Linked DNA regions of Mus musculus. The protein of the gene in region 1 interacts with the protein of each later gene in a biochemical or structural test. Links are inferred from orthologs where the notes say so. Each region holds a gene or a part of one and is shown on either strand. Other genes may lie near its edges.

What was found.
Region 2: of the proteins of Dapk3 (region 1) and Pawr, one has a biochemical effect on the other in vitro, tested with the Homo sapiens proteins (2 studies listed by BioGRID). The link is inferred for Mus musculus from reciprocal best matches to the Homo sapiens genes DAPK3 and PAWR.

Annotation. Positions count from the first base shown.
Region 1 is NC_000076.6:81,181,858-81,185,823, forward strand, and holds the start of Dapk3 (death-associated protein kinase 3), read left to right. Parts: upstream 1-1,149; 5' UTR 1,150-1,226; coding exon 1,227-1,239; exon of another isoform or gene 1,240-1,562; intron 1,563-2,060; exon of another isoform or gene 2,061-2,118; coding exon 2,119-2,218; intron 2,219-3,966. Other genes in the region: Eef2 (elongation factor 2), read left to right, coding at 32-225. UniProt on the Homo sapiens protein: Serine/threonine kinase which is involved in the regulation of apoptosis, autophagy, transcription, translation and actin cytoskeleton reorganization. Involved in the regulation of smooth muscle contraction.
Region 2 is NC_000076.6:108,408,675-108,412,191, reverse strand, and holds part of Pawr (PRKC apoptosis WT1 regulator protein), read right to left. Parts: intron 2,730-3,517; coding exon 2,582-2,729; intron 229-2,581; coding exon 124-228; intron 1-123. UniProt on the Homo sapiens protein: Pro-apoptotic protein capable of selectively inducing apoptosis in cancer cells, sensitizing the cells to diverse apoptotic stimuli and causing regression of tumors in animal models.

The DNA.
Region 1 (3,966 bases):
AAGTCACCTGAGTCTCCTGTCTTCTGTCTAGGCTTCACCGCTGATCTGCGATCCAACACCGGCGGCCAGGCCTTCCCCCAGTGCGTGTTTGACCACTGGCAGATCCTGCCTGGGGATCCTTTTGACAACAGCAGCCGCCCCAGCCAAGTGGTAGCTGAGACGCGCAAGCGCAAGGGCCTGAAAGAGGGCATCCCAGCGCTGGACAACTTCCTGGACAAACTGTAGGCAGCCTGATACTGCCACATGCTGCACAGTGCCCACCCATCAGAAGACACCTTGAGACTGTCCCACAGTGCTCCTCTAGAGGCTGCTGGGGCCACCCTGACATCACTCAGCACTCACTTGCTACCAATTCTATTTATTTCGGAATTACAAGATAGCGGGAATCTCTCTGCAGGCTGGACTGGCAGGCTGTGGGGTGGGCGGGACACGGCTCTTAACATTTTCAGAGGGAAACGCGCAGATGTCCAAAAGTCTAAATAAATGCATTCAGAGGTTTTTGGGGTCCATGGCCAAGTGGAGTTCCCCCAGAGGGGGAGGTGGGGTAAGTGCCTCCAGGAAGGCAGGCAGCCTGCCTTAGACTTGCAGCCCGGCTGTGGGAATGAATCATTGGAGTAATAAACTACAGTGGTTGATCCACATGTGCTCGCAACTCTGTTTTGTACAGCGCACGCTTTCCTGGTTTTCAGGGTATCTGGCTACCCTTAGGTGGCCTGCGGTGATTCACACATAACACACACACTGCACCCCGTGCGACAGAATGGGTTTTATTGTGAGTTCACAGTACTGCCTCAGTCCATTCCACAAACTTGAATCACTCCATAGACCTGCACATCAGGGGTTTGGTCTGCGCATACCCGGCTCCAGGTTATTGGCTTTCAGCCTCTCGCGTTAGCCAATCATCAGCCAGGAGCCCAATAATGATGTGCTCCACAAGGGCGGTGTCGAGCCTTCCTGTGAATCTGTCAGGCTGGCCAATGAGCACTGGACTCTCGCCTAGCCTTGGGTGATGACGTCACTAGTCAACGTCCGCTTCCGCTGAGAGGTCAGATGCTAACCAATGAGCGTGTGCATTCAATTTCCGGTTAAAGTCGTAGTCCAATGAGCGCTGGTTTTCGGGTTTTGCGGAGGTGTGCCCCTGCGCTGTCAGCGCATGCGTAGATGCCGTCTCAGGATTTGTACCGGAGGTTCTCGCGGGGGCCTCGCTGGCACCGGGCGGGGACTCGATGGCTGAGGACGGTACGAATGGGCCGGGTCCGGGACGTTGTGTTGGGACCCAAGGGACACGCGACGAGGGCGGGAGCGAGGGGAGGGAACCCGCGAGGGGCATGGCTTTCTCCAATCTCGAGGGGTGGACCTCTAGGAATAGCAACACTGCTGCGCATGTGTCAGGTTTCCGGCGACACCCCTGAGTTCCGGGGTGCTGGTGGGCATGATTGACAGGTGAGGAAGCTAGGTAGGAATTTCAAGAGCCGGACGCTATGGAAGTGTTTCGAGTAGAGAACCCCACGCTGACTTGGAACTCTGTTTAATCCTCCAGCCTCAGCCTCTTGAGTGCTAGGGTAAAGGGCACCTGACACTGTATTGTGTTTTATAGTTTTGTACATATATATATATATATATATATATATATATATATATATACTGCTTGAGAGATGTTGTTCCGCTTCTTTTAGTTATATCTATGCTTGTTTCTGAGAGGGGTGTCACAGTGCCCGCAGGTACCTGAGGTTCCTGAAGAGAGCGTTAGAGGTCATCAGGCCTGGGAGTTAGAGATACTAGTGAGCACTGGAAACTGAACTTGGAGACTGTGCAAGTACAGCACCCACTCTTACCGTCTCAGCCATCTCTCCAGTCACTTGAGCTGGTCTCATGGAACTCAGGCTGGCTTGTAACTCACCAAGTATTTGAGTATGCTCTTGAACTCGTAGCCGTGCAGCCCTCCGCTCCCCAGTGTGGGGTGTCAGGTTTGCTCTACCATGACCAAATTGTGGGTAGAGGCTGTAGATGACCAAAGAAAATCTGGGGCAGGGGCATTGTGTGTCACATATGCTGGGGAAGCCTCTTGGGAGAAGTCGGATCCGTGATAAACATTTCCTGTTTCCTCTGTCCCTCCAGCTCCTGTGTCCCCAGAATCCTTCAGAAGGCCAGCCGCCATGTCCACATTCAGGCAAGAGGATGTTGAGGACCATTATGAGATGGGAGAGGAGCTTGGCAGGTGAGTGGCGTGGGAGGTGGGTGCCCTTCCTCTCCTCAGTGTCTTGAAGCAGTGGCCACAGAGTTTTCTGGTGGTACCACGCCAGACTTCAGGTTCCCAGATGACAGGGAACCTGAGTTCCTTTTCTCTCGTGTCCTCTGTGGAGAGAGACACAGAGACCTGTAGCTGCTGCCCCTGAGCCGGGGACAGTGCCTCGGAGCATTGTCTGCTATGGGATTGTTCTCAGCTCGGTTTCTTCTTTTCCCCCATGAGACAGAGTCTTACTATGTACTCCTGGCTGGTCTGGAACTTGCTCATCACAGAGATCCTCCTGCCTCTGCTTCCCAAGTGCTGGAGCTAAAGGATTGCACCACCACCCTGGCCTTGGCTGATTTTGATTTTGGTTTTTTAAAGGCAGGCTCTCATGTCCCCCAGATTGGCCTTGAACTTCTTTTATGTAATTACTATATTTTGTGTGCATATGTGTCTTAGTCACAGCACAGCTTCCTGGAGTCTGTGCTCTCCTCTCCCATGCGAGCCAGTTCCAGGGACTGAGCTCAGGGAGTCCTTGGCAGCCCTGGGTGATGTCCCACCACACTGCACAGGCTGTTTTACGACTTGCTGGGTCTGCCTTTCTTGAGTTCTGTACATGGATGCTTTTATACTGGTGTCTCCCCAGTGCCGGGATGGTTCAGGACACCGTTTTCTGTTTGGTGTTTCTTGAGAAAGCCAGATTCTCTTTCTAGGCTAGCTCTCATGCCTGTCCGTGCTTTGGAGCCCCCTCCCTCTTCCCCCTCCCACCTCCTCATGCCAGGCCCTTCCTCTTTCTAAGGGGCTTCAGACCTTATTTGGTGAGTTCTGGGCCAGCCTTCTGGGGGCATCAAGGCCCGCCCTATGATGTCATCCCCATGGAATGTAAATAACCTTCCCAGTACTAGGCAGGCTGAGGAGGAGTTTTCCTGCCTAGGGACCCTGAACCACTTCCTTCTGGAGTTCCCCACCCCAGCCCCCACCCCTGAGAACCTCCCGGCTGCCATCCCAGTAGGGCTTCAGCGATGTTCCTGTCATGTGCTGGTCACATCTATGAGCCTACTGCTAGGGAAGTAGGGACATCTCGTGCCAGGGATGTGAGACTCAGACTGAAACATAAGATGGGACACTGGAGAGGCGGCTCAGTGATTACAGCACCAGCTGCTCTTGCAGAAGTCCTAGGTTCGATTCCCAGCAACCACATGGAGGCTCACAACCACCTGTGACTCCAGCTCCAGGAGTCTGACACTCCCACTGGTCTCTGTGAGCAAAACTTGTAAAAACACAGAAAGAAACACAGAGGCCTTCTCACATACCACACACCAACTCACCCTGACAGGTAAGTATGGACAATTTAGCCCTTACGTAGTCAACACTCTGAGGGTGGGTCCAGGATCCTGAGCTCCTCACAGGCATTGATGCTCATCTAGCAAATGAGGATGTATTTGTGCATAACCCATGCATGGCACCCTGTGTAATTTACATAAAGTGTTTATGGTGTTGGGGTAGGTGGACCCAGGCCCCAGGCCTGCCACTCTGTACACTTGCTGCCTGGATCTCTGTTTTTATTTTTTTAATTTCTATTTTGACTTATTATGAATACAGTGTTCTGCTGCATGGATGCTTGCGTGCCAGAAGAGGGCTCCAGCTCTCAATACAGATGGCTGTGAACCAACAAGGGCAGTCAGTGCTTGTAACCACTCAGCCACCTCTCCCGCCTCTGCCTCCCAAGTGCTGGG
Region 2 (3,517 bases), about 27 Mb from region 1:
AGAGCTCACCATAAATGACCATCTTATTAACCAAACAGGCGATGAACAAGTTCTTCACCCTTGCATGCTTTCATCCAATGACCAAAAAGAGAAACCCAGGAACTGGAATCCAGAACCACTTACTCTATTTAACAAATCGATCTCTTCCTTGAGTTTCCCAATCATTTCTTCTTTATCTTGCATCAGCCTCACAAGTCGAAGGTTTTCTTGCCTTTCTCTTACAACTTCCTAGGGAATAAATCGCAAAGCATTAACAAGGGAACTGGCTGATTGCAGTTTTCTAAAATGGCAAACACCTGTCAGTAACAGAGCACGACTCCAGACATTAGCAAAGCCCCTTCCAGCCATACCTGACACTGAAGATATGACGGTGATGATGACACAAAGACAGACAGACAGACAGACCGACAGACCAACTTTGTAAAGAAAGAAGAGAAGAGCACAGTTTTTTAAATAGCAAAATTGCAAGCTTTCTGTGAATTGAAAAGGAAAAAAATGGGACTTTCTGCTATTGTGGTTTTCCTTTAAAAGAGATGCTACGTAGTGGACCATACTTAGTGCCAAAGTTGGGAGTCTGAGGTAAGAGGATCCCCTGAACTTATGAGTTCAAAGCTAACAGAAGCCCCATAACAAGGTCCTGTCGACATGACAATTCAGTCAACGGTGGAGCGGGTGAAGAGGCATCTCCTCTGCTGCTGTAGTCATGGATAAGACGCCCGTGAGCCTGTGAACAACCCCAGTGAGACTCACTCAGACACCCCAGAAGTGGGGCTAGTTGGGGAAGATGACAAGGTACATGAGCACAACACAGTATACACACACATGAAGTGTCCTGAGGCCTGCTAGTACATATAATTAATATAGTCTAATAAAGTGATCCACCTAGGAGATTAAGAAAGCACACCCCTGGGCGTATTTATATGGAACAAAAAGAGAAGGAAGTTCAGAAACTCAGGTTTGCATCTCTTTGCTCCCTAACAGCCAGGAGGGAAGCATGTCTTCCCTCACGCCCTGGCTTCATCAAGGACAAGAAACCACGGGGCTGGCTGATACCAGCTGTAATTCTAAAACCATGAACCACGAAAAATCTACAAAAGAAAAAAAACAAACAAACAAACAAAAAAACCCAAAAAACAACAATAAGGCCCTGCAAAGTAGCTTACTCAAAGGACAGACAGACAGACCTGGAAAATACTGTCCTGTCTGAGGGAATGTAGTCTCATAAAGACAGAAGTCATATATTCTCTCTCATTCACAGACCCCAACTTTAAATGGATGGAAACGGGTTGAGATTTGGCCTAGGTTATGAAACTATGTATCAGACCACTGGAGAGCAGGAGACATTATAAAAGTGGGGGACGATGTCATGTGATAAGAAAGCAGACAAACTACTGGGGACAGGAGGGTCCAAGGGAGGAAAGGCGAATGGGGATGAAAAGTGAGAAAAGAAAACAAACAAACAAACCAAACTAAACCAAATTTTGATTGCAAAATTCCATAATGAAATATGATGGTTTGTAAGCTAATAAATGCTTTTTAATTTTTTAAAAAAATCGTTATTTAGAAGTCTTTGAATTCAGGGCTTCTAGCTCATTGTTTTACACACCTATGATCCTAGCTCTTGGGAGGTGGAGGCTGGCAGGTCAGATAGATCCAAGATCATCTTTGGTTAACTGGACTGTATGAGACGCAGTACTGTCTCAATAAACCTAGAACAGACAAAGCCTCCAGGCCTCCTGGGAGGGCTGGAAAGGTCTCTGGCAGGACTCGCTTCTTTTCTAGCCCTCAGAGAAAGCAGCAGGCTACCCAAAGCCATCAAAAGCTGCCTGTCAGCATTTCTGGAGTGTCATGAGTTTTTCAGAGGAACCTTTTGAAAACTAGTAAAGTGTATTCTCTAACCCTTTAAGTTTAAATAATGATTCTGATCAGAAATAGGGGTTAAAGCTTAAATGTAACCTAAATATCACCGCTGCGTAAGCAGCAAGTCAAAACAGATAAATCTCACAATAATCTTTGTGTCACAGGGAATAACTTCCAATCATTAAAAGAGAACTTATTCCAAACCAGTTTCAGGTGCGTGTCCACGGGACACACCTCAGCTCTGTAATTTTACTGCAATGTTCAGGTGAGTTGCTGTCGAAACATCTGTAAGCAAGTGTATCCTGTTTCTACTTGAAAATGGTTCAAGCACCAAACATGGGCCTAACTCAGAATAGCTGTAAGGTCTGAACCAACAGTATGTTCAGCCGATGTAGTGCGGGGTACAGGCTGACAATGCAAGCATTTAAGCACTCAAAAACCCTCAGTGCTCCTCAGAATACGAGTAAGATATGACAGAACAGGAATGGCTACTGAATCAAGGCATTCAAGTGGACAGAAAAGCACTTAAGGAAGTGGGGGGAAGCCAAACACCAGGGTCTAGGTGCGAACGCACAAGATAAGGAGTCCAAGCTGCTCCTGGAGTAGAACCGGATGTCTCCTGCCTGGGTGTCCCACCTCCCTTTCTGGGCATGAAGCCATGGAACTGGGAGAAGAATGCTAAAGTATGTTAATTTTATTTAGAGTAATTCATAATTCATACCTTTTCAAGATCTTCAATTCTCTTTTCCAAGGTGCTACTTGAGGAGAAACTAGCCGGCGCATTTGCATCTCTGTTGTGTCTACTGAAACCACTTCTGTCTGTTCGGGGATATCTATTTGAGATTTCATCTTCTGGGGCACTGGTTGTGCTGTGGAAATAAAAGTGAATAGTATATAAACATTGTGGGCACCCTAAAAGAAAAATGTCAAGGCTCTTTTCTCTTCAGTCTGAACAACTAACACTCCCTGAGGACACGGGGAATTTGTTTTCTGCCGTAGAACTGAATCCCCAGTCTAACCCAATGGGGAGAAACGTGTAAAAGCACATTAATTCTTTCCGCTAACTCCCAAGTGGCTGTTAGAGTCAGGCACTGTTCTGGGTCCTGAAGATGCTCACAGCAACCACACACTCATGTTGTGCTTTCAACAGGGAACACCACCAAGGTCAACAGAGGGAAATGATTATCAACTCTTCCGCCAAGGCCAGACACACTGGGGACTGGGACAGAACGATCTCCCAGACCTCTGTGGTGAAATTTACTTCTCTTTAGTTTTTCTTTTTAAATTTTTTCTTTTTTTAAATAGTCAGGCTATGGTGGCACACACCTTTAAACCCAGCACTAGGGAGGCAAAAGTAGGCAGATATCTGAGTTTGAAGCCAGCCTGGTCTGCAGAGTGAGTTTCAGGACAGCCAAGGCTATACAGAGAAACCCTGCTTTCAAACAAACAAATAAGTAAATGAAAATGAAATAGCCTTTTATTTTCAGAGTTCAATGTCTCATTTAAATTCCAAAAACATAAAAAAAAAATCAAAAATGTAATTTGAATGGGAAAAAAGTAGAGAGCTGTGTAAAGTTGCATACTTCCAACTGAAAGTCGGCACGTAGGCAAGTCCTTCCATTCTGGTAACTCTTTAGCCAGCACTTTCTCAAAATTA